Linked DNA regions of Macaca mulatta. The protein of the gene in region 2 interacts with the protein of the main gene of each other region in a pairwise test. Links are inferred from orthologs where the notes say so. Each region holds a gene or a part of one and is shown on either strand. Other genes may lie near its edges.

Region 1 (7,408 bases), about 3.6 Mb from region 2:
TTAGGTTGAAGACAGCACAGGAAAAGTGGATATGGTAAAAAGATAAAGGAGAAAGCAAATCTTCTGAAGCTAAATGTACAAAATAAGTCAAATTTACATGGGCCGGGCGCGGTGGCTCACGCCTGTAATCCCAGCACTTTGGGAGGCCGAGGCGGGCGGATCACAAGGTCAGGAGATCGAGACCACGGTGAAACCCCGTCTCTACTAAAAATACAAAAAATTAGCCGGGCGCGGTTGTGGGCGTCTGTAGTCCCAGCTACTCGGGAGGCTGAGGCAGGAGAATGGCGTGAACCCGGGAGGCGGAGCTTGCAGTGAGCCAAGATTGCGCCACTGCACTCCAGCCTGGGCGACAGAGCGAGACTCCGTCTCAAAAAAAAAAAAAAAAAAAAATTTTACAGATGGCAGTTAAGTGACAACTGGCAATATGGAACAATGAAATTGAAAAATAATGACAGTGGAGATTGGATGGGGCGGAGGCATTTGGGGGTAAGAGAAGTGACAGAATTGAGGGTTCTCAATGAATCAACTATGAGTGGTTAGTGAAAGTTAAGTGTGTGAGGCCGGGCGCCGTGGCTCACGCCTGTAATCCCAGCACTTTGGGAGGCCGAGGCGGGTGGATCACGAGGTCAGGAGATCGAGACCATCCTGGCTAACACGGTGAAACCCCGTCTCTACTACAAAATACAAAACATTTGCCGGGCGCGGTGGCGGGCGCCTGTAGTCCCAGCTACTCTGGAGGCTGAGGCAGGAGAATGGCATGAACCCGGGAGGTGGAGCTTGCAGTGAGCCGAGATCACGCCACTGCACTCCAGAATGGGCGACAGAGCGAGACTCCGTCTCAAAAAAAAAAAAAAAAAAAAAAAAAAAAAAAAAAAAAAGTTGGCCGGGTGTGGTGGCTCATGCCTGTAATCCCAGCACTCTGGGAGGCCGAGGCGGGTGGATCACCTGAGGTTGGGAGTTCGAGACCAGTCTGACCAACATGGAGAAACCCTCTCTCTACTAAAAAATACAAAAATTAGCTGGGTGGTGGTGGGTGTCTGTAATTCCAGCTACTCAGGAGGCTGAGGCAGGAGAATCGCTTGAATCGGGGAGGCAGAGGTTGTGGTGAGTAGAGATCATGCCATTACACTCCAGCCTGGGCAACAAGAGTGAAACTCTGTCTCAAAAGTAAATAAATTTTTAGGCCGGGCGCGGTGGCTCAAGCCTGTAATCCCAGCACTTTGGGAGGCCGAGACGGGCGGATCACGAGCTCAGGAGATCGAGACCATCCTGGCTAACACGGTGAAACCCCGTCTCTACTAAAAAACACAAAAAACTAGCCGGGCGAGGTGGCGGGCACCTGTAGTCCCAGCTACTCGGGAGGCTGAGGCAGGAGAATGGCGTGAACCCAGGAGGCGGAGCTTGCACTGAGCTGAGATCCGGCCACTGCACTCCAGCCCGGGCGGCAGAGCAAGACTCCGTCTCAAAAAAAAAAAAAAAAAAAAAAAGTAAATAAATTTTTAAAAGTTAGGTGTGGACATAATGGTCAACTGGTGACAGGGAAGGAGGGGGCAGTTGGGAATGCCTGTGGATAGGAAGGTAAGCAGGGAGGTCAGTTGCATATAGCTAAAATGAGGGACAGCCAAAGATGACCTGAAGGCCAGTTGGGGTGGGGAGAAAGGGCAGTTAAGGCTGGGGACGGTGGCTCACGCCTGTAATCCCAGCGATTTGGGAGGTGGAAGTGGGTGGATCACTTGAGCCCAGGAGTTTGAGAACAGCCTGGGTAACATGGCAAAACCCCCTCTCTACAAAAATACAAAAAAATTTAGGCAAGTGTGGTGGTGTGCGCTTGTATCTGGGAGGCTGAGGTGGGAGTATCATCTGAGCCCCGGGAGGTCAAGGCTGCAGTGAGGTGAGATCGCACCACTGCACTCCAGCCTGGGCGTCAGAGTGAAACCCTGTCTCTAAGAAGAAGAAGGAAAAAAAAAAAAAGCCAGGCGCGGTGGCTCAAGACTGTAATCCCAGTACTTTGGGAGGCCAAGGTGGGCGGATCACTTGAGGTCAGGAGTTTGAGACCAGCCTGACCAACACAGTGAAACCCTGTCTCTACTAAAATTATAAAAATTAGCCGGGTGTGGTGGTGTGCACCTGTAATCCCAGCTATTCAGAAGGCTGAGTCAGGATAATTGCTTGAACCCAGGAGGCGGAGGTTGCCATGAGCCGAGGTCGCGCCACTGAACTCCAGCCTGGGCAACAAAGCAAGAATCCGTCTCAAAAAAACAAAACAAAACAAAACAAAAACTAGATAAGTTAGGAGACAGTGCCTGTAGGCTCCTGAAGGACAGAAGCAGCAAGCTAGAACGTAGGGGTGAACTAGCATTTATCCAAGGGAAGTAGGGATGGGCTGAGAAAGCAGGTGAGGTCAAAGGCGGAGGGAGGTCAAAGGTTGGAGTTGAGCTGAAAGGGCCTAAAGTGGGGTCTAAAGGGGATGTCCTGACTCGGAGGGGGGTCAGCAGAACGCGGGGGGCGGGGGGGTCAGCGGGAGCTGCGGGGCATTCCGGCCTCAGATAAGTGGCGCCCAAGCGGGTGACCTAGATCCAAGGGCAGGATGGAGCTGAAGGAAGCCAGGAAGGATCCTCCACAGTTGACTTCGGGGTAGCCACAGCCCGGGCCTGCAAGGGTGGATGAGGACCCGAGAGTCAGGCTGGGGCTGAGGGGCTGCCTGGAGCCTGGAGCCCCGCTGGAGGGAAGCGCCGGGCCGGAGAGCGCGGCGGGCGCCTGAAAGGGCGACCGGGACCCTCGACAGGTGGACCGGGCGTGGCCGGACCTTCCGGGCAGCCCAGCCCCGAGAGGGGCCCTGGGGTGGTGGTCCCAGGCTGAGCGGCAGGCTGGGGCCTGAGGGGAGCCCCGCGTCTGAGGGGGCAGCCCCGGCCTTAGGCGGCACCCGGGCCTGAAGGGGTTGTTTGGGCCTGAGGCGGCGTCCGGGGCGGCCGAACTTGAGGGCCAGGCGGGGATAGAGCACCCGAGTAGCCGCGCCACGGCCGGCCGCACTTGGCCCCAGCACCTGAAGCAGCTGCGCGGCGAATTCTAGAACTCGGCGGGGCGGGGAGGAGAGAGACGGCGATTCGAGCCGCGGGAGGAGCCGGCGGGCGGTGCTCGCCTGGGGGCGGGGCCTGAGCGGAGCCGCCTTCTGGGCGGGCCTCGGTAGGAGGCTCCGCCCCCTGGACGCGCCTCCAACGGCGGCGACATGAGCTGGGCCGGGGCCTGGGTGCCCCCGCGGGTCAGCCCCCGACGTTTCCCTGCTCCTCAGGCGTCTGCAACCCTCCTGGGTTGCGGCGTCTGCTCGCCCTTCTGCGTCCGCAGCTCGGTCCCCGCGTCCCTGCACGCTGGGCCCCACAGGCCGGGAGCGTTGCCCCTTTAACAAGAGTAACCCGGGTCGCTCCCGGCTCCTTCCCAGGACGGCGCGCGCCCGCCTCTCCGCGCGCGCCCGCGCGTCCCCCGCCCCTCGCTCCCGCCCCAGCTCGCGCTGCCCGGGCGGGCGCCGGCCGCTGGCGCCGCTACTGCTGCCGCCCCCGGGGCGCGAGTCCGCCGCCCGCCGCCCGGGGACCCGGCGAGGGGCGGGGGCAGCTCCGAACCGGCCCCCGATCCTTCCCGCCGCCGCCTCACGCTTCCCGGAAAGCTTGTCCTTCTCCGCCGAGCCACTCCGGGAGCCCCGCCGCGCCGAGGTGAGGGCTGGGCAAGGGGGAGGGAAGGGACGCCCGCGGAGGAATGTGCCGGGTTGGGGGGCGGGGAGCCGGGGTCCGGCGGCGCGATCTAGGCTCGAGAGCCGGGATCATGTGCTGTTTGTTCCGCGGAGGCGCAGAGAGGTGCCAGGCCCGGGCGGCCGCCGGCTTAGGGCTAGACAGGAGGACCGGTCCGCATGGCCGCCCAGAGAGGCCGGGCGGGGACATGTGTGAGAACTGCCGGGTGGGCAAGGTGCAGGTGGCCCAAGACTCCCTTTCGGGTCGGGCGGCCCCACCCAGCCGCCCAGTATCCTCCTTGTACCCCACGGCTCCTTAACAGCTGCACCGGCTGACCCCTGTCCCTACCTCTGTTCCCTTACCCTGCTGGCCCCCAGCCATGCCACCCCATTCCCTGTCCCATTAGCTGCAGCAACGGCGTCACCATGGCTTGTCCCCACCAGTGTCCTTCCCTCCCCTGGTCAGGGTCTAGGGGGTCAGGGCTGTTCTTCCTGAGCCAGCTTCTGTGATTCCAGCTACTCCCTTCCTGTCCTGGGACAGACCAGCCCCTCACCCTCCCATGCTCTGCCCAGGAAGGCTGGTGAGGGGGAGGCCCAGTGTGACAGGAGTTTGGGGCCCACTGGGGTCACAGGAGGGGGCTTAGCATCCCTTATTCCTCTTCGTGGTTCTCCTCCCTGTTGTCCGTGGGCGTGGGCTGCTCAGCCTCTCCTCACAGGGTGTGGGCACCCGATCACCCACATTCCTGGGCTCCAGCCTGGCACCTTCCCCAGGGCAGTGGACGCCATAGCACTAGCCCCAGGCTGGGGCTGGCACTGGCCAGCCGGCTTCCTTTTGCTTTTCTTTCTCCCTTTCAGGGAGGCCCCAGGGACCCTCTACCCTCAAACACAGGTATTTCTGGGCACCCCAAGGGTGGAGCCCTGAGGGTTGGTCTGATGGCTACAGGATGACCCCACCCTCCCCTGCCCATTGTCCTGGATCCTGAGGAGGAAGTGCTGGGGGCTGGGCAAGGGGCTTAAAGCCCACACAGCCGGCCCTGTGGATCCCAGTCCTGGGCCCTATCTACAGTCCTTGGACTTTGCCCATCCGCACTGCCGGCCTGGTGTGTGGAGGTTGTGGGCCTTAGGTGGAAACTGGATTCTCCCTTGCCGACCCTGTGGGGAATTTCAGGACAGGTTTTGCATTTGCAGTTTCTTCTGATCTCTCTTCTGGGCTCCCAGTTTGTGCTTTGGCCCCGGAGTTCCTGCCTCTTTAACAGCTTGTGTTTGCTGTGCTGTGTCTCTTTCTCCTTTCCTCTCCCATTCTTTCCTTCATAGCATGACCTCAGGCTTGCCTTTTGTCTTATTTCTCTCATTTTCTTGGTGTCTGTGACTCTCTACCCCTCGTCTCTCTCTTCCCGCCACCCTCACGTCTCTGCCCATGTGCCCCTCTCTGAATTGCCCTCTGTCCAGCCTCTTTCTCTCTCTCTCCTCTATCTGAACGTTCAGTACACTTGCGAGTGATGAGGAATAAAAATATCACCGTCCTTGCCCTTGGATTCACATTGCATTCTGCCACTCCAGAGGGGCAGCTGTCCATAACGTTTTGTACTATTCCCCCCTAACCGTGGCCCTCCAACCTGGGAACCCCAGACAGGTCTCGAGCCACAGGTGCCTCCTAACAACTCTTCCCCCACAACCAGGGTGTCTCCCAGAGCCCCAGCTGGTGTGGCCAGGTCCCAGTAGTAGGATGGGGCTCCCCCTACGAGGGCCAGTGGCAGCGAGAACTGATACAGCCCCCCTGGTCTGGAGCCAGGACGCCAGGTAACTCTGGGGGAGACCGCCCAGGTTCCTGCAAGGTGGAATATGGCTGGGGAGAGAGGCAGAAATACCTTTGGGAGTCTCTCAAGACAGTGACATTTGGGAGGAAAGCCAGGGGAATAAGAGCTGGGTGCTTGAGAGGCTGGGTGGCTCTGGGGGAGATGTGAAGAGACTGGTTCTGGGAAGAAGCTGGGAGGCAATGTCTGGGTCCCCCCAGTGGCTCTGACCCCACCACTCCTTTCTCTGTCCTCCAGCTGAGGAGGGCAGGAGTGTCTGAAGCCATGGCTGGTGCCTCGGTGAAAGTAGCAGTGAGGGTTCGGCCCTTTAACGCCCGTGAGACCAGCCAGGATGCCAAGTGTGTGGTCAGCATGCAGGGCAACACCACCTGTGAGTGAGTCCCCGGGGCCTGGCTGGGCACAGACAGGGAAGGCCGGGCCCACCACACAGGCCAGTCCCGCTGGGCCAAACTAAGAGGAGGTCTGTGCCGGGCACAGGGCAGGTGCTAGTCGTGAGGGCGGGGGCTGGGGCAGGCTGGCCTTTCCCGTGTTCCCAGTCTTCTGGGAGGGGGAATGTTGGCCTGGAGCCCTCCATTGCCCAATCCAGGGAGGCAGCTCAGTGGGGGCGGGTCCTAGGAAGCCAAAATTAGCTTTGGTGGCTGGAGGGGGTGGGGAATATTAAAGGGGAGAGATGAGTCAGGGCAGTGGTGAGGAGTGGGATGCTTGGATTCCAGGGGCTGGTGGGGGTATGGGCAGGGGCTGGGAGTACCTGACCTTGACTTTCCTTCCTTTACCCCCTCCTGCTCCTCAGCCATCATCAATCCTAAACAGAGCAAAGATGCCCCCAAAAGCTTCACCTTTGACTACTCCTACTGGTCACACACTTCGGTGGGTTGTTGGGCTGGGGGAAGAGCAGGGCAGTGAGAGACAGTGGATTTAGGTCCTGGGGAGGGGACATGTTGAGAAATAGGACCCCCAGGGGATTATTCAGGCTGATTGGGAGGATGATCCTGGATGGGGGTGGTAGGACCCTTAGGCTGTGATTGAGGCCATGACAAGAAGGCAGAATCCCTTGGGGTAATTAGGACTAGCAGGGGCTGGATAGGATCCTCGGGGTGATTAGGACAATGATGAGGGTGGGAGGGCACATAGGACCTTTGGAGAATCATCAGTTCTGGAAGCAAGACTGTTGGGACAGACACAAAAGATAAAGACATCCAGGGTTCCTTCTGTTTTTCTCTGCCCCCGCTTTGTCCTAGGCGGAGGACCCCCAGTTTGCATCTCAGCAGCAAGTGTATCGGGACATTGGAGAAGAGATGCTGCTCCACGCCTTTGAAGGCTACAACGTGTGCATCTTTGCCTATGGGCAGACCGGGGCTGGGAAATCCTATACCATGATGGGGCGGCAGGAGCCAGGGCAGCAGGGCATCGTGCCCCAGGTACACCTAGGACCTGGTGGGGCAGCCAGGGCAGGAACATCTTTAGCTGCCCCCTGAGGAAGGAAGGACCGGGGTCTGAGGATTGTGGAACAGAGAGACCTGGCTCTGAGGCCACTGGTGATGGGAGATAGAGGTTGACTCAAGCTGGACAACCCTTTGGGGTGGGAGGGTCTTTGTCCCTATTGGAGGCAACGAGCCTCATTGAGAAGAGCAAGGTTTTGGCATCAGTGAGTCTTGGGTTCGAGCGCCAGTGTTACCACTTATTACTGTTTTACTTAGTTTCATAATAATTTATGAGGATGGTTCTCCTGCAGGCTTGTGTACCATCGCAGAGTGTTAACTGTAGAAACGCCAATTGCGATAACAGAGTTAACCATAATTGTCCCTGGCTGTCCAGCATAGCAACCTGGCACACAGGCTTGGGAGTCAGGACGCCTGGGGTTTGCGCCCTGGCTGGC
Region 2 (6,615 bases):
AGTTTATAAGTTAAACTTTCCCATGGCTATGTATGTATAGGACAAAACATAGTCTATATCAGATTTGGTATTATTCATGGTTTCAGCACATCCACTGGCTGGTCTCAGAATGGATGCCTCTTGGGTAAGGGGGAACTGTTGTTATTTTCAAGCAAAATGATGACTGTTTTTTAAAAAAATACGGTGGGTTGGCTGGGCATGGTGGCTCATTCCTGTAATCCCAGCACTCTGGGAGGCCGAGGCGGGCGGATCACGAGGTCAGGAGATCCAGACCATCCTGGCTAACATGGTGAAACCCCGTCTCTACTAAAAATAGAAAAAATTAGCCGGGCGTGGTGTCGGGCGCCTGTAGTCCCAGCTACTGTGGAGGCTGAGGCAGGAGAATGGCGTGAACCCGAGAGGGGGAGCTTGCAGTGAGCCGAGATCGTGCCACTGCACTCCTGCCTGGGTGACAGAGTAAGGCTCTGTCTCAAAAAAAAACACACACACACACACACAACAAATATACTGGGTTAATTTGTCTCATTCCTCTTCCCCCCGGCCCCCCAGACTCACCTTGTCACCCAGGCTGGAGTGCAGTGGCACGATCTCCACTCACTGCAAGCTCCGCCTCCCGGGTTCACGCCATTCTCCTGCCTCAGCCTCCACAGTAGCTGGGACTACTGCGCCAGCCACCACACCCGGTTAATTTTTTGTATTTTTAGCAGACACGGGGTTTCACCGTGTTAGCCAGGATGGTCTCGATTTCCTGACCTTGTGATCCGCCCGCCTCGGCCTTCCAAAGTGCTGGGATTATAGGTGTGAGCCACCGTGGCTGGCCTTTTTTCTTTTTCTTTTTTTTTTGAGGCGAAGTCTCGCTCCGTCGCCCAGGCTGGAGTGCAGTGGCCAGATCTCGGCTCACTGCAAGCTCCGCCTCCCAGGTTCACGCCATTCTCTTGCCTCAACCTCCTGAGTAGCTGGGACTACAGACGCCCGCCACCTCGCCCGGCTAGTTTTTTGTGTCTTTTAGTAGAGACAGGGTTTCACCGTGTTAGCCAGGATGATCTCGATCTCCTGACCTTGTGATCCACCCGTCTCGGCCTCCCAAAGTGCTGGGATTACAGGCTTGAGCCATCGTGCCCGGCCCTTTTTTTTTTTCTTTTTTTAAAGAGGAAGTTTCGCCCTTGTTGCCCAGACTGGAGTGCAGTGGTGTGATCTCAGCTCATTATAACGTCTGCCTCCCGTGTTCAAGTGATTCTCCTGCCTCAGCCTCCTAAGTAGCTGGGATTACCGGTGCCTGCCACCACAACTGGTAAATTTTTGTATTTTTAGTAGAGATGGGGTTTCACCATGTTCGCCAGACTGGTCTGGAACTTCTGACCTCAGGTGATCTGCCAGTCTAGGCCTCCCAAAGTGCTGGGATTAGAGGTGTGAGGCACCACACCTGGCCTAGTTTTTTCAACAGAATAGAACATATCAGAGTGGAACACTGTAAGCATAAGGATTATTTAATGAAGTTATTTTACATACTGTGTGTGTAGATGCATATATAAAATGTTTCTTATTGTAGGTCTTGTTAAAAAAGTTGTATAGCCATCACTCTAATGCAGCAGTTTTCAATTAGAGGTGCTTTTGTCCTTCAGAGGACATTTGACAATGTCTAGAGATACTTTTGTCACTTAGGGGGTGCTGCTAGCATCTAGTGGGGTGGAGACAGGATGCTGCTAACCATTCTACTGTGCGCAGCACGGCCCCACAGCAAACTCCAGTAGTGCTGCTGGTGAGAAACTGATTTAGTGGAAGAGACAGGCACGTAACGCATGAACGAGAACAAGGAAGAGAATTACAGGGCAGGTGGAAAGTGAGCTTGGTTGGGAGAGGGAAAGGTGGGGGAACCACAGTTACTGACTCGCCAGCTGTACTGGGCACTGTCCTGAGTAGAGAAATATTTCTGTTATATGTATTTGTGTAAGGTAGTACGTGAAATCTTTAAAATAGCACTGGAAGGGGGAGGCATTATCCCAACCTATGAATGCACAAGCCAGGATTTTGAGTGTTTAACATACCTGAGGTCACTTAGAAAGTTGTGAGCTGGGGCCGGGCGTGGTGTCTCGTGGCTGTAACCCCAGCACTCGGGGAAGACAGAGGCAGGAGGATCGCTTAAGCCCAGTAGTGGGCAAAAAAGTGAGACCCTGTCTCTAAAATTGTAAGCTGGGGTTGATGTGTTAACCATTACCCTGAAATATGTTGGGTCAAAGAATTTGGTTGGTCAGTAGACAAGTTGAGTGTCCCAGTGGAAGGAGGAGGTGAGGAAGTTGAAAGTGCTAAAGAAACAAGCCCAGGAGCTCCACTGTGGGATTTCTGTGGGATTTTGGCTGCCTGGGAAAGGGAAGTGGGAATCAAAGACAGCAACTGATAAAGTGGGAGAAGACGTAAAAAGCTCAAGAGTCTGATGTCTTAGATGAGATACATGCATTAAAAAAGAAAAAGTGGCGAGGCGTGGTGGCTCATGCCTGTAACCCCAGCACTTTGGGAGGCCAAGGTGGGTGGGTCACACCTGAGGTCAGGAGTTCGAGAGCAGCCTGACCAACATGGTGAAACCCCGTCTCTACTAAAAATACAAAAATTAGCCAGGCATGGTGGCACGTGCCTGTAATCCCAGCTGTTCAGGAGGCTGAGACAGGAGAATTGCTTGAACCCAGGAGGCGGAGGTTGCAGTGAGCCAAGATCGAGCCACTACACCCCATCCAGCCTTGGCAATGAGTGCGAAACTCTGAATCAAAGAAGGAAAAAGTAAAAGAGTCCAGGTGTCTTGATGAGTCCATAAATAGAAATTACAAGAGAAGAGGAACTGAAAAAGGAAGCCATGGGCCCAGAGTGGAGTGTTACAATTCAGACTGCTAGTATAGGGCAGCGCGGTCATGGGTGTGGACAAGTGGAAGTCTTGGAGTAGAGAGCCAAGAGCTTGTCGAATGGAACACGGCCACACCATACCTTGGTGTGATCTCAGGTATCGGATGGGTTTGCTGTAGACATTGAGTGAATCTGGGAGAAGGGTGTAGAGATCTACTGAAGACAGAAGCTGAGAAATAGAATGTAGAATATCAGCTTGTGAGGAGGAAGGATTTGGAGTAATAGGAGAGCAGTCATTGACTGTGCAAGGAGCTAGGAGAACTTAGAAATCTTCCTTTTCCTAGACCAGTCTCTGTTGGAAAAGCCGTCAGGGCGGTGGTTTATTCAGAAAATGATTTTGCTTGGGATAAGGATGTGATTATAGAAGAAAAAGTGAGAGAATGTTTTACAGTGAAACGGAGGTTCCGGGGGCATGGAGAGGAACGAAAGGTTCAGCAATAGTGCATGAGTTAATAGCAAATAGGAAGCAAGCTGGGGATGTGCGTCCAGAGGTGGTGTACGCGTTCAGCATTATCAGTGGATAGAGATGGTGGCAATAGCTACTTTGGTAGATAGGTTTTTGGTGTCTTAACTAGTTACAGATCTCTGCCATTTAAGGAATTGCCTGGTGACTGTTAGGAATGTGAGTGCTGAAGGCAAACTGCCTGGGTTTAAATTTTGATTTTGTCCCTTGCAACTGGCCTGAGTTCAAATCCTAGCTCTGCTTATTAAATTCTTTTAAGTTGATCTTAGAACAATGTGTTTACATTGCTACCTTGTGGAAGAAGTTAATTCATGTAATTGACCAGCATTTATCAAGAAGCATCAGTGTTTTAGTCATTGGTAATTCTGTAACTGGACTGAGAAGGGAGTGTGGGGGCTGGCGTATGTGCGCCTGCATGTGTGTATGTAACAATAGCATGCAGAAAGGAAAAGATGCTTTTTATAACCTAGAGGCAGCTTTTCTCTGCTTTTGTGTCAAGAAGGAAGAAGGGAGTTGGGAGGTGGTTATTAATTCTTTTTAATACTAAGCTCTCCTCCTAAAAACCAGAGATAGAATGTGTAATAATTTGTAGAATTTCTAGACTTAATCAGATTTTTTAAAAAAATTTATTTTTATTTTTTCAGGTTGAGACTGAGCTAAAGTTAATCTGTTGTGACATTCTGGATGTACTGGACAAACACCTCATTCCAGCAGCTAACACTGGCGAGTCCAAGGTTTTCTATTATAAAATGTAGGTTCTATACTAGAAGGGAAAATGTAAGATTGAAAGTTGGTCCTTTTAGAATTACAACTTTTTTCTATGTGGGTTTTCAACTTTTATTTAAGAATAATTGTTCAATGTTAGAAGGATAGTTAATATTGGAATAAAAAGATGGACTATTATAAAAATGTAAAATTTTTAATAGTTACTCGTAGAAAACATAATTTTATATTTTCTGTTTTAGCATAAACAAGTTTCAGTCTTACTAATGTGTGTTAAACTGTTCTCCCATTTATACTTCAGATTGTTCCCAGCTTTTGCTTATTTTATATTCTTTGTTTTTGTGAGACCTATCCCATTCCCTTCCCCCAAGCGGCATACATTTCACAGTGCTTAGTGTTTTATATAGAAATTTTATTTTATTTTTAATAAACAGTCATGCCATTCCTTGGAACCACTTGCTTAATTCTGGTTTATTAGGTGATAATTTTGTTAATTTTTAGAGGCTCCTCAGTTAATTTCCTTGGGATTTTTGCTTATATTTAGTAATATGAAATGTCTAAGGAAAAACACAAAAGGAAGCCAATTATTCCTGAGGGTATTTAAAATTATTGAAGTATACCTGCTAATTGTTACATATATTTTTGTCGCATATTTTATATAATATAGAACAATTTTAGCTTATTTTCCTTTAAAAATCGTCATTCCTGGTTTAAAATTTTTTTTTTTTTAATTTTGGTTTTGTTTTAGGAAAGGGGACTACCACAGGTATCTGGCAGAATTTGCCACAGGAAATGACAGGAAGGAGGCTGCGGAGAACAGCCTAGTGGCTTATAAAGCTGCTAGTGATATTGCAATGACAGAACTTCCACCAACGCATCCTATTCGCTTAGGTCTTGCTCTCAATTTTTCCGTATTCTACTACGAAATTCTTAATTCCCCTGACCGTGCCTGCAGGTAAGTTGTGGGGAAGAAAAAAGCTCTCAGCTTGAAAGTTAAGGGGTAGCCGGGCGTGGTGGCTCAAGCCTGTAATCCCAGCACTTTGGGAGGCCGAGACGGGCGGATCACGAGGTCAGGAGATCGAGACCATCCTGGCTAACACGGTGAAACCCTGTCTCTACTAAAAAATACAAAAAACTAGCCGGGCGAGGTGGCGGGCGCCTGTAGTCCCAGCTACTCGGGAGGCTGAGGCAGGAGAATGGCGTAAACCCGGGAGGCGGAGCTTGCAGTGAGCCGAGATCGCGCCACTGCACTCCAGCCTGGGTGACAGAGCGAGACTCCGTCTCAAAAAAAAAAAAAAAAAAAAAAAAGAAAGAAAGTTAAGGGGTAGCTATTTGGATTTTCCGTATTGTTTCTTGGGCCTGCCTTTGTAGACTTGGCTGCGTATTGATTCTTTTGACTCTTACTGAAACTACTTTGGATAGTATTAAAACAGACCTATCTCAACCCACTAGCGTAGCAGTCAGGGTAAGTATTTTTATGTGGGATATTTTGGTAGATTGAAATCTAACGTGTTAAAATGAGTAGAGGAAGGGCCAGGCGCGGTGGCTCAAGCCTGTAATCCCAGCACTTTGGGAGGCCGAGATGGGCGGATCACGAGGTCAGGAGATCGAGACCATCCTGGCTAACACAGTGAAACCCCCTCTCTACTAAAAATACAAAAACTTAGCCGGGCGAGGTGGCAGGTGCCTGTAGTCCCAGCTACTGGGGAGGCTGAGGCAGGAGAATGGCGTAAACCCAGGAGGTGGAGCTTGCAGTGAGCTGAGATCCGGCCACTGCACCCCAGTCTGGGTGACAGAGCGAGACTCTGTCTCAAAAAAAAAAACAAAAATGAGTAGAGGAAGGAAATGAGAGGAATTATAAGATAGAATTATTTTAATTTTATATATTAGTTTTCAGTCTTTTTTTAAAATTTGAGACGATGTCTCACTTTGTCTTCCAGGCTAGAGTGCAGTGACGCCATCTCAGATCACTGCAACCTCCACCTCCTGGGTTCAAGTGATTCTTCTGCCTCAGCCTCCTGAGTTACTGGAGTTACAGGGGCCTGCCAACATGCCCATCTAACTTTTTTTGTGTTTTTAGTAGAGACAGGGTTTCACCGTGTTGGCTAGGCTGGTCTGGAACTCCTGACCTCAAGTGATCCGCCTGCCTTGGCCTCCCAAAGTGTTGAAAGTACAAGCGTGAGCCACCACACCCAGCCAGTTTTCTGTCTTTATGGGCATGTTTTTAATAGTTACTCTCGTCGAAAACATAATTTTATATTTTCTGTTTTAGCATAAACAAGTTTCAGTCTTACTAATGTGTGTTACACTGTTCCCCCATTTATACTTCAGCTTGTTCCCAGGTTTTGATAATGTAGATACAAATGTAAGGAATATTTGTATGTACATAGCTTTTTACTTTTAAAAAGTTGTGATAGCCTCGGCGCGGTGGCTCACACCTGTAATCCCAGCACTTTGGGAGGCTGAGGCGGGTGGATCACCTGAGATCAGGAGTTCGAAACCAATCTGACCAATATGGCAAAACTCTGTCTCAACTA
Region 3 (7,331 bases), on a different chromosome or scaffold from region 2:
GATGCTCCCGCCTGTCCCGGCCCAGAAGGCGCACAGCCAGGGTGCGGGGGGCTGCTTTCCACGGGACCTGCTGTGGGGGCCTGAGTGTAGATGCCCTGCCCACTGCCCCAGCAGGGCCTCCTGTACAGCTTGCATTTTATTTCTGCAGGGTGGTGTGGGATTGTCCCACTTGTTCTCTCATATCTATTTTTCACCATCTTTGTGACTCAGCTTTTTCTTATTCCTCTAATTCTTTGCATAGATCTTTCAGCAGAGATGACAGAAGACGAGACACCCAAGAAAACAACCCCCATTCTCAGAGCATCAGCTCGCAGGCGCAGACCCTAGGAGGCGCGCTCCCCGCCGGCGCGGACCCTAGGACTTGTAGGGTGACCTGGAATTCTAATTGTTACCCTTGTAAAATATTTGTCTGTCTTTTAAAAAAAAACAAAAAACAAAACCGCCCGGGCGCAGTGACTCACGCCTGTAATCCCAGCACTTTGGGACACCGAGGCGGGTGAATCACCTGAGGTCTGGAGTTCGAGCCTGACCAACATGGAGAAACCCTGTCTCTACTAAAAATTAAAAATTAGCCAGGCGTGATGGCGCACACCTGTAATCCCAGCAACTCGGGAGGGTGAGGCAGGAGAATCGCTTGAACCTGGGAGGCAGAGGTTGCAGTGAGCCGAGATCACCCTACTGCACTCCAGCCTGGGCAACAAGAGTGAAACTCCGTCTCAAAAAAAAAGTACATACACGATCTTTAAAATGCAAGGCCTTTCTCTTAAATTAGCCTAATTGAACTGCATTGAGCTGCTTTCACTTTGGAATATGTTTGCCAATCTCCTTGTTTTCTAATGAATAAATGTTTTTATATACTTTTAGACATTTTTTCCTAAGCTTGTCTTTGTTTCATCTTTCACATTAGCCCAGATTCATGCAGCAGAGAGAGGGTTATCAGTGCAGAGAGAGATGAGCGAGCCCAGAGAACTAGGGCCTGTCCCAGGATGGCAGATGAGCTTCCTGCCCTGTCACTGCCACCTTTCCCCTCTCAACCTCCGGACCCTGCACAGTGACCAGCCAGCCTCGGGAGAATTATGCAGTGCCTCGACTCCAGATCAGCGCTTCTGAACGGGGGCAATTTTGCCTGCCAGAGGACATTTGACAACACCTGGGGCCTTTTCTGTTGTCATAGCCTGTGGGGGAAGAATGCTACCAGCATTGGTGGGCAGAGGCCAGGGATGTTGCTAAACAGCCTACAGTGCACAGGGCAGCCCCTCAACAAAGAATTACACAGCCCAAAATGTCAATAGTGTCGCAGTTGAGAAAACCTGCTCTAGACCAAGGGTTGCTTTCCTTTGTGTGCCTCACCCCACCCCCACTCGTGTTCCCTAATCCCATCTCCAAAGGCTGGCAGCGGACTGGGCCAGGCTGGTGGCAGGTCAGGTCATGATCCCCTCCAGCTCTGCAGGAGACAAGGTCTGTCTCCCGCATTCCTCACTGGTCCCAGGTCTGCAGGGGGCGCAGGCTATGCTGCAAGCGGGCTGCCCCTGAAGCCTGCCCACCCCTCTCCAGCTCCTCAAGTCGTCTCTGCTGAGTCACCTTAGAACCGGAGGCTGTGAGCTGGCTGTCGTGACCACACTGGTGCCTCTGCTGTCATGACAACAGCACACTACGTCACTAGTGCTCCCTGGGCACCGAGCTCCCTCTTAGCGGGGAGAAGACAGTAATGAAAAATGACAAGCATGAGGCAGAGGGGAAGATGGCGCCCCCAAATCACGCTTGGTGGTGCAGGAGCATGGAGGTGCTCTTAACGCTCTGGATGGGAAAGGGTTAATGGTCCTGGTTGCAGGAATAGCTGAGTCAGAGGTGGGGCTTCCTCCACTCCCCCACCCCACCCTTCCACCATTAAGGACCCTCTTGCCTTGCTCTTGCTACTCTGCTCTGGGTGGTCATTGTGAAAAGCCCGCACCAACCATGCCAATGGCAGCCAGACGAGGACACAGCCTGGTTCTGGGTCCCAGGAGGAAAGGCAATCCCAGAAAGACAGGGACAAGGACTGGAGTCCTGTGGGTGCCTTTTAAGCAAAGATTATCACCAGGCGGGCTAAACTTAGCAAACGGCTTTTAGCTAGAAGGGCAGGGGGCTGGTGTCAGGTTATGCTGGGCCAGCAAAGAGGCCCAGGATCCCCCTCCCATGCACCTGCTGATGGGCCAAGGCCACCCCACCCCACCCCCTTCCTTACAAGTGTTCAGCACGCTCCCATCCCACACTCACAAACCTGGCCCTCTGCCCTCCTACCAGAGAAATGGATACCCTGTGGGAAGGGGCAGGGGGCCTGTTCCCACCATGTGCCCAAGACCTCTTTTCCCACTTTTTCCCTCTTCTTGACTCACCCTGCCCTCAATATCCCCCAGCGAAGCCAGTGAAGGGGAGTCCCTGGCTCCTGGCTCGCCTGCACGTCCCAGGGCGGGGAGGCACTTCCGCCCTCACGTCCCGCTCTTCGCCCCGGGCTGGATGGAGTGAAAAGCACACTGTCTCTCACCCTAGGCAGCACAGCCCACGGGGCTCCAGGAGTGACTTTGTGGGAGGCCTCTGGGCCCCCACCAGCCATCCTGTCCTCCGCCTGGGGCCCCAGCCCGGGGAGAGCCGCTGGTGCACACAGGGCCTGGATTGTCTGCCCTAATCATCAGGTCCAAGCTACAGGGCTGCAGGACATCGTGACCTTCCGTGTAGAAACCTCCCCCTCAAGCCGCCTCCCGAGCCTCCTTCCTCTCCAGGCCCCCACTGCCCAGTGCCCAGGCCAGGCCTCGGTCCCAGAGAGGCCAGGAGCCAGGAGATGGGGAGGGGGAAGTGGGGGCTGGGAAGGGCCCACGGGCCCCTCCTAGCCCTTTGCTTCAGCTATTCCGGTGTCACTACCGCAGAGCCTCGAGGAGAAGTTCCCCAACTTTCCCGCCTCTCAGCCTTTGAAAGAAAGGGGAGGGGGCAGGCCGCGTGCAGCCGCGAGCCGTGCAGGGCTCGGGCTCCAATTCCCCATCTCAGTCGCTCCCAAAGTCCTGTTTCATCCGTGCGTGTAAGGGCCCCCGTCCTTGACTCCCTAGTCTCCTGCTGCCCACACTCCAGTCCTGGGAAGCAGCACCGATCACCTCCCATCGGGCCAGTCTCAGTCCCTTCCCCCCTCCGTCGGGGCCCACACGCTTGATGCGTGCCCAGTTGAACTAGGCGGCTGCGGAAAAAAAAAAAGAGCAGGGAGAAAGCAGGGCCCCGCTACTCGCGGTTTTACGGGCGCACGTAGCTCAGGCCTCAAGTCCTTGGACTGGGACTGGCTGAGCCCGGCGGGAGGCGGGGTCAGAGTCACCGCCTGCCGCCGCGCCCCCGGGTTTCTATAAATTGAGCCCGCAGCCTCCCCCTGCGCTCTCTGCTCCTCCTGTTCGAGAGTCAGCCGCATTTTCTCTTGCATCGCCAGGTGAAGACGGGCGGAGAGGAGCCCGGAGGCTAGGGACGGGCCTGAAGGCGGCAGGAGCGGGCGTGGGCCGGACGTGTTCGCGCCGCTGCGGGGTGGGCGCGGGCCAGGGTCCGGGTCCGGGCCCGGGCTGCCTCCGCATTGCAGGGGCGGGCGGAGGACGTGATGCGGCGCGGGCTGGGCATGGAGGCTGGTGGGGGGAGGGGAGGGGAGGGGAGGCGTGGGTGTCGACCGGGACCACTAGGCGCTCACTGTTCTCTCTCTCCGCGCAGCGCATCCCTGAGACACCATGGGGAAGGTGAAGGTCGGAGTCAACGGGTGAGTTCGTGGGTGGCTGGGGGGCCCTGGGCCGCCCGCAAACTGCGTCTACGAGCCTTGCGGGCTCCGGGTCTTTGCTGTCGTATGGGGTAGGGTAGCTGCGTCCGGCAAGGAGAGCTCAAGGTCAGCGCTCGGACCTGGCGGAGCCCCGCACCCAGGCTGTGGCGCCCTGTGCAGCTCCGCCCTTGCGGCGCCATCTGCCCGGGGCCTGCCTTCCCTAGTCCCCAGGAACAGGAGGTCCCTACTCCCGCCCGAGATTCCATCCGACCCGGACCCCTAGCTGGGGACGCTTTCTTTCCTTTCGCGCTCTGCGAGGTCACGTGTCGCAGAGGAGCCCCTCCCCCATGGCCTCCGGCACCGCAGGCCCCGGGATGCTAGTGCGCAGCGGGTGCATCCCAGTCCGGAGGCTGCGCCTGCGGTAGAGCGGCCGCCATGTTGCAACCGGGAAGGAAATGAATGGGCCGCCGTTAGGAAACCCTGCCGGTGACTAACCCTGCGCTCCTGCCTCGGTGGGTGGAGTCGCGTGTGGCGGGGAAGTCAGGTGGAGCGAGGCTTCCCGGCCCCTGCTCTCAAGTCGGCCCCTGAGCTGCAAGCCCTATTTCCCCTCCGGGTGATGCTTTTTCTAGATAATTCTCTGGTAAATCAAAGAAGTGGGTTTATGGAGGTCCTCCTGTGTCCCCTCCCTCCAGAGGTGTGGTGGCTGTGGCTTGGTGCCAAGCCGGGGGGAGCTGAGTCATCGGTAGTTGGAAAAGGACATTTCCACCGCAAAATGGCCCCTCTGGCGGTGGCCCCTTTCTGCAGCGGCGGCTCACCTTATGGCCCCCCTCTTCCCCTGCCAGCCTAGCGTTGACCCCACCCCAAAGGCCAGGCTGTAAATGTCACCCGGAGGATTGGGTGTCTGGGAGCCTCGGGAAACCTGCCCTTCTCCCCATTCCGTCTTCCAGAAACCAGATCTCCCACCGCACCCTGGTCTGAGGATAAATATAGCTGCTGACCTTTCTGTAACTGGGGGCCTGGGCTTGGGCCGTCTCCCATCCCTTCTCCCACACACATGCACACACCTGTGCTCCCACTCCTGAATTCTGGAAAAGAGCTAGGAAAGGACTAGAAGCTTGCAAATTAAAGCCCTGGGACTAGGGGGTTAAAAAACAACTTCCCCTCTTCCCCCGGCCCAATCTCTGTCCCTTTTGTAGGCGGGTCTTAGAGAAGGGGTGGGCTTGCCCTGTCCAATTAATTTCTGACCTTTATTCCTGCCCTTTGAGTTTGGTGATGCTGAGTGTACAAATCTTTTCTCCTTAAACGGTGCAGTTTGAGGCTGAGCTAGGCAGCAGCAAGCATTCCTGGGGTGGCATAGTGAGGTGCTGAATGCCACGTGCAAAGCTTGTGCCCAGACTGTGGGTGGCAGTGCCCCACATGGCCGCTTCTCCTGGAAGGGCTTCCTATGACGGGGGGTGTTAGGCAGCAGTGGAGCCTTCAGTTGCAGCCATGCCGTAAAGCCAGGCCAGCCTGGCAGGGGAGCTCAAGGGAGATACAATTCACCTCTTAATGGAGGTAAGGAGATGTTGGGGGTAAGGAGATGCTGCATTCGCCCTCTTAATGGAGAGGTGTCCTAGGGCAGCTCACATACTGTGGAGAAGCCTCCCCTCCTCATGCCTTCTTGCCTCTTGTCTCTTAGATTTGGTCGTATTGGGCGCCTGGTCACCAGGGCTGCTTTTAACTCTGGTAAAGTGGATATTGTTGCCATCAATGACCCCTTCATTGACCTCAACTACATGGTGAGTGCTGCCCCAAAGCTGATGTGGGAGGAGCCACCTGGCTGCCAGGCAGCCCCTTCACACCCTTGCGTATTCCCCCAGGTTTACATGTTCCAGTATGATTCCACCCATGGCAAGTTCCATGGCACCGTGAAGGCTGAGAACGGGAAGCTCGTCATCAATGGAAGCCCCATCACCATCTTCCAGGAGTGAGTGGAAGGCAGTGGGAGAAATGTGCTGTGGGGGGCAGCTAGGGTGGTGCGGCTCCCTTGGGTACATGGTAACCTCGTGTCCCTCAATATGTCCTATCCCTGTCTCCCCCACCCCATAGGCGAGATCCCTCCAAAATCAAGTGGGGCGATGCTGGCGCTGAGTACGTCGTGGAGTCCACTGGCGTCTTCACCACCACGGAGAAGGCTGGGGTGAGTGCAGGAGGGCCCGCGGTAGGGGAAGCTGGCTCAGCCCTGCAGAGGCAGAACCCGGGTTTATAACTGTCTACTTCTCTGCTGTAGGCTCATTTGCAGGGGGGAGCCAAAAGGGTCATCATCTCTGCCCCCTCTGCTGACGCCCCCATGTTCGTCATGGGTGTGAACCATGAGAAGTATGACAACAGCCTCAAGATCGTCAGGTGAGGAAGGCAGGGCCAGTGGAGAAGCGGCCAGCCTGGCACCCTGTGGACACGCTCCCCTGACTTGCGCCCCCTCTTTGTTTGCAGCAACGCCTCCTGCACCACCAACTGCTTAGCACCCTTGGCCAAGGTCATCCATGACAACTTTGGTATCGTGGAAGGACTCATGGTATGAGAGCTGGGGAATGGGACTGAGGCTGCTGCCTTTCTCATGCAGGGCTGGCTCCTCCTCCCGGCCAGGCCTGCATGCAACCCTGGGGGCTGGGCCTTCTGGGGACTGGCTCTCCCATAATTTCCTTTCAAGGTGGGGAGGGAGGTAGAGGGGTGGTGATGTGGGGAGCACTCTGCAGGGCCTCACTCCCTCCTTTTCCAGACCACAGTCCACGCCATCACTGCCACCCAGAAGACTGTGGATGGCCCCTCCGGGAAACTGTGGCGTGATGGCCGCGGAGCTCTCCAGAACATCATCCCTGCCTCTACTGGCGCTGCCAAGGCTGTGGGCAAGGTCATCCCTGAGCTGAACGGGAAGCTCACTGGCATGGCCTTCCGTGTCCCCACTGCCAACGTGTCAGTGGTGGACCTGACCTGCCGTCTGGAAAAACCTGCCAAGTACGATGACATCAAGAAGGTAGTGAAGCAGGCGTCGGAGGGCCCCCTCAAGGGCATCCTGGGCTACACTGAGCACCAGGTGGTCTCCTCCGACTTCAACAGCGACACCCACTCTTCCACCTTCGACGCTGGGGCTGGCATTGCCCTCAACGACCACTTTGTCAAGCTCATTTCCTGGTATGTGGCTGGGGCCAGAGACAGGCTCTTAAAAAGTGGTGCAGAGTCTGGCGCCCTCTGGTGACTGGCTCAGAAAAAGGGCCCTAACGACTCTTTTCATCTTCTAGGTATGACAACGAATTTGGCTACAGCAACAGGGTGGTGGACCTCATGGCCCACATGGCCTCCAAGGAGTAAGACCCCCGGACCACCAGCCCCAGCGAGAGCACAAGAGGGAGAGAGAGGCCCTCACTGCTGGGGAGTCCCTGCCACACTCAGTCCCCCGCCACACTGAATCTCCCCTCAGTTTCCATGTAGACCCCTTGAAGAGGGGAGGGGCCTAGGGAGCCCCACCTTGTCGTGTACCATCAATAAAATCCCCTGTGCTCAGCCAGTTCTTTGTCCTGTCTTATCCTAGGGTGTA

Evidence for each region. The genes of interacting proteins can lie anywhere in the genome.
Region 1: the proteins of YWHAE (region 2) and KIF1C interact in binary tests that used the Homo sapiens proteins (3 or more experiments, as listed by UniProt). The link is inferred for Macaca mulatta from reciprocal best matches to the Homo sapiens genes YWHAE and KIF1C.
Region 3: the proteins of YWHAE (region 2) and GAPDH interact in a two-hybrid assay, tested with the Homo sapiens proteins (2 studies listed by BioGRID and IntAct, with this or other methods). The link is inferred for Macaca mulatta from reciprocal best matches to the Homo sapiens genes YWHAE and GAPDH.

What each region holds. Positions count from the first base shown.
Region 1 is NC_133421.1:6,547,565-6,554,972, forward strand, and holds the start of KIF1C (kinesin-like protein KIF1C), read left to right. Parts: upstream 1-3,479; 5' UTR 3,480-3,704; intron 3,705-5,397; 5' UTR 5,398-5,518; intron 5,519-5,769; 5' UTR 5,770-5,796; coding exon 5,797-5,902; intron 5,903-6,322; coding exon 6,323-6,399; intron 6,400-6,770; coding exon 6,771-6,950; intron 6,951-7,408. UniProt on the Homo sapiens protein: Motor required for the retrograde transport of Golgi vesicles to the endoplasmic reticulum. Has a microtubule plus end-directed motility.
Region 2 is NC_133421.1:2,901,075-2,907,689, reverse strand, and holds part of YWHAE (14-3-3 protein epsilon), read left to right. Parts: intron 1-3,999; coding exon 4,000-4,106; intron 4,107-4,826; coding exon 4,827-5,033; intron 5,034-6,615. UniProt on the Homo sapiens protein: Adapter protein implicated in the regulation of a large spectrum of both general and specialized signaling pathways. Binds to a large number of partners, usually by recognition of a phosphoserine or phosphothreonine motif.
Region 3 is NC_133416.1:7,482,399-7,489,729, forward strand, and holds GAPDH (glyceraldehyde-3-phosphate dehydrogenase), read left to right. Parts: upstream 1-3,402; 5' UTR 3,403-3,445; exon of another isoform or gene 3,446-3,537; intron 3,538-3,714; 5' UTR 3,715-3,731; coding exon 3,732-3,760; intron 3,761-5,435; coding exon 5,436-5,535; exon of another isoform or gene 5,536-5,558; intron 5,559-5,616; coding exon 5,617-5,723; intron 5,724-5,845; coding exon 5,846-5,936; intron 5,937-6,026; coding exon 6,027-6,142; intron 6,143-6,229; coding exon 6,230-6,311; intron 6,312-6,515; coding exon 6,516-6,928; intron 6,929-7,035; coding exon 7,036-7,105; 3' UTR 7,106-7,143; downstream 7,144-7,331. Other genes in the region: NCAPD2 (condensin complex subunit 1), read left to right, coding at 242-327. UniProt on the Homo sapiens protein: Has both glyceraldehyde-3-phosphate dehydrogenase and nitrosylase activities, thereby playing a role in glycolysis and nuclear functions, respectively.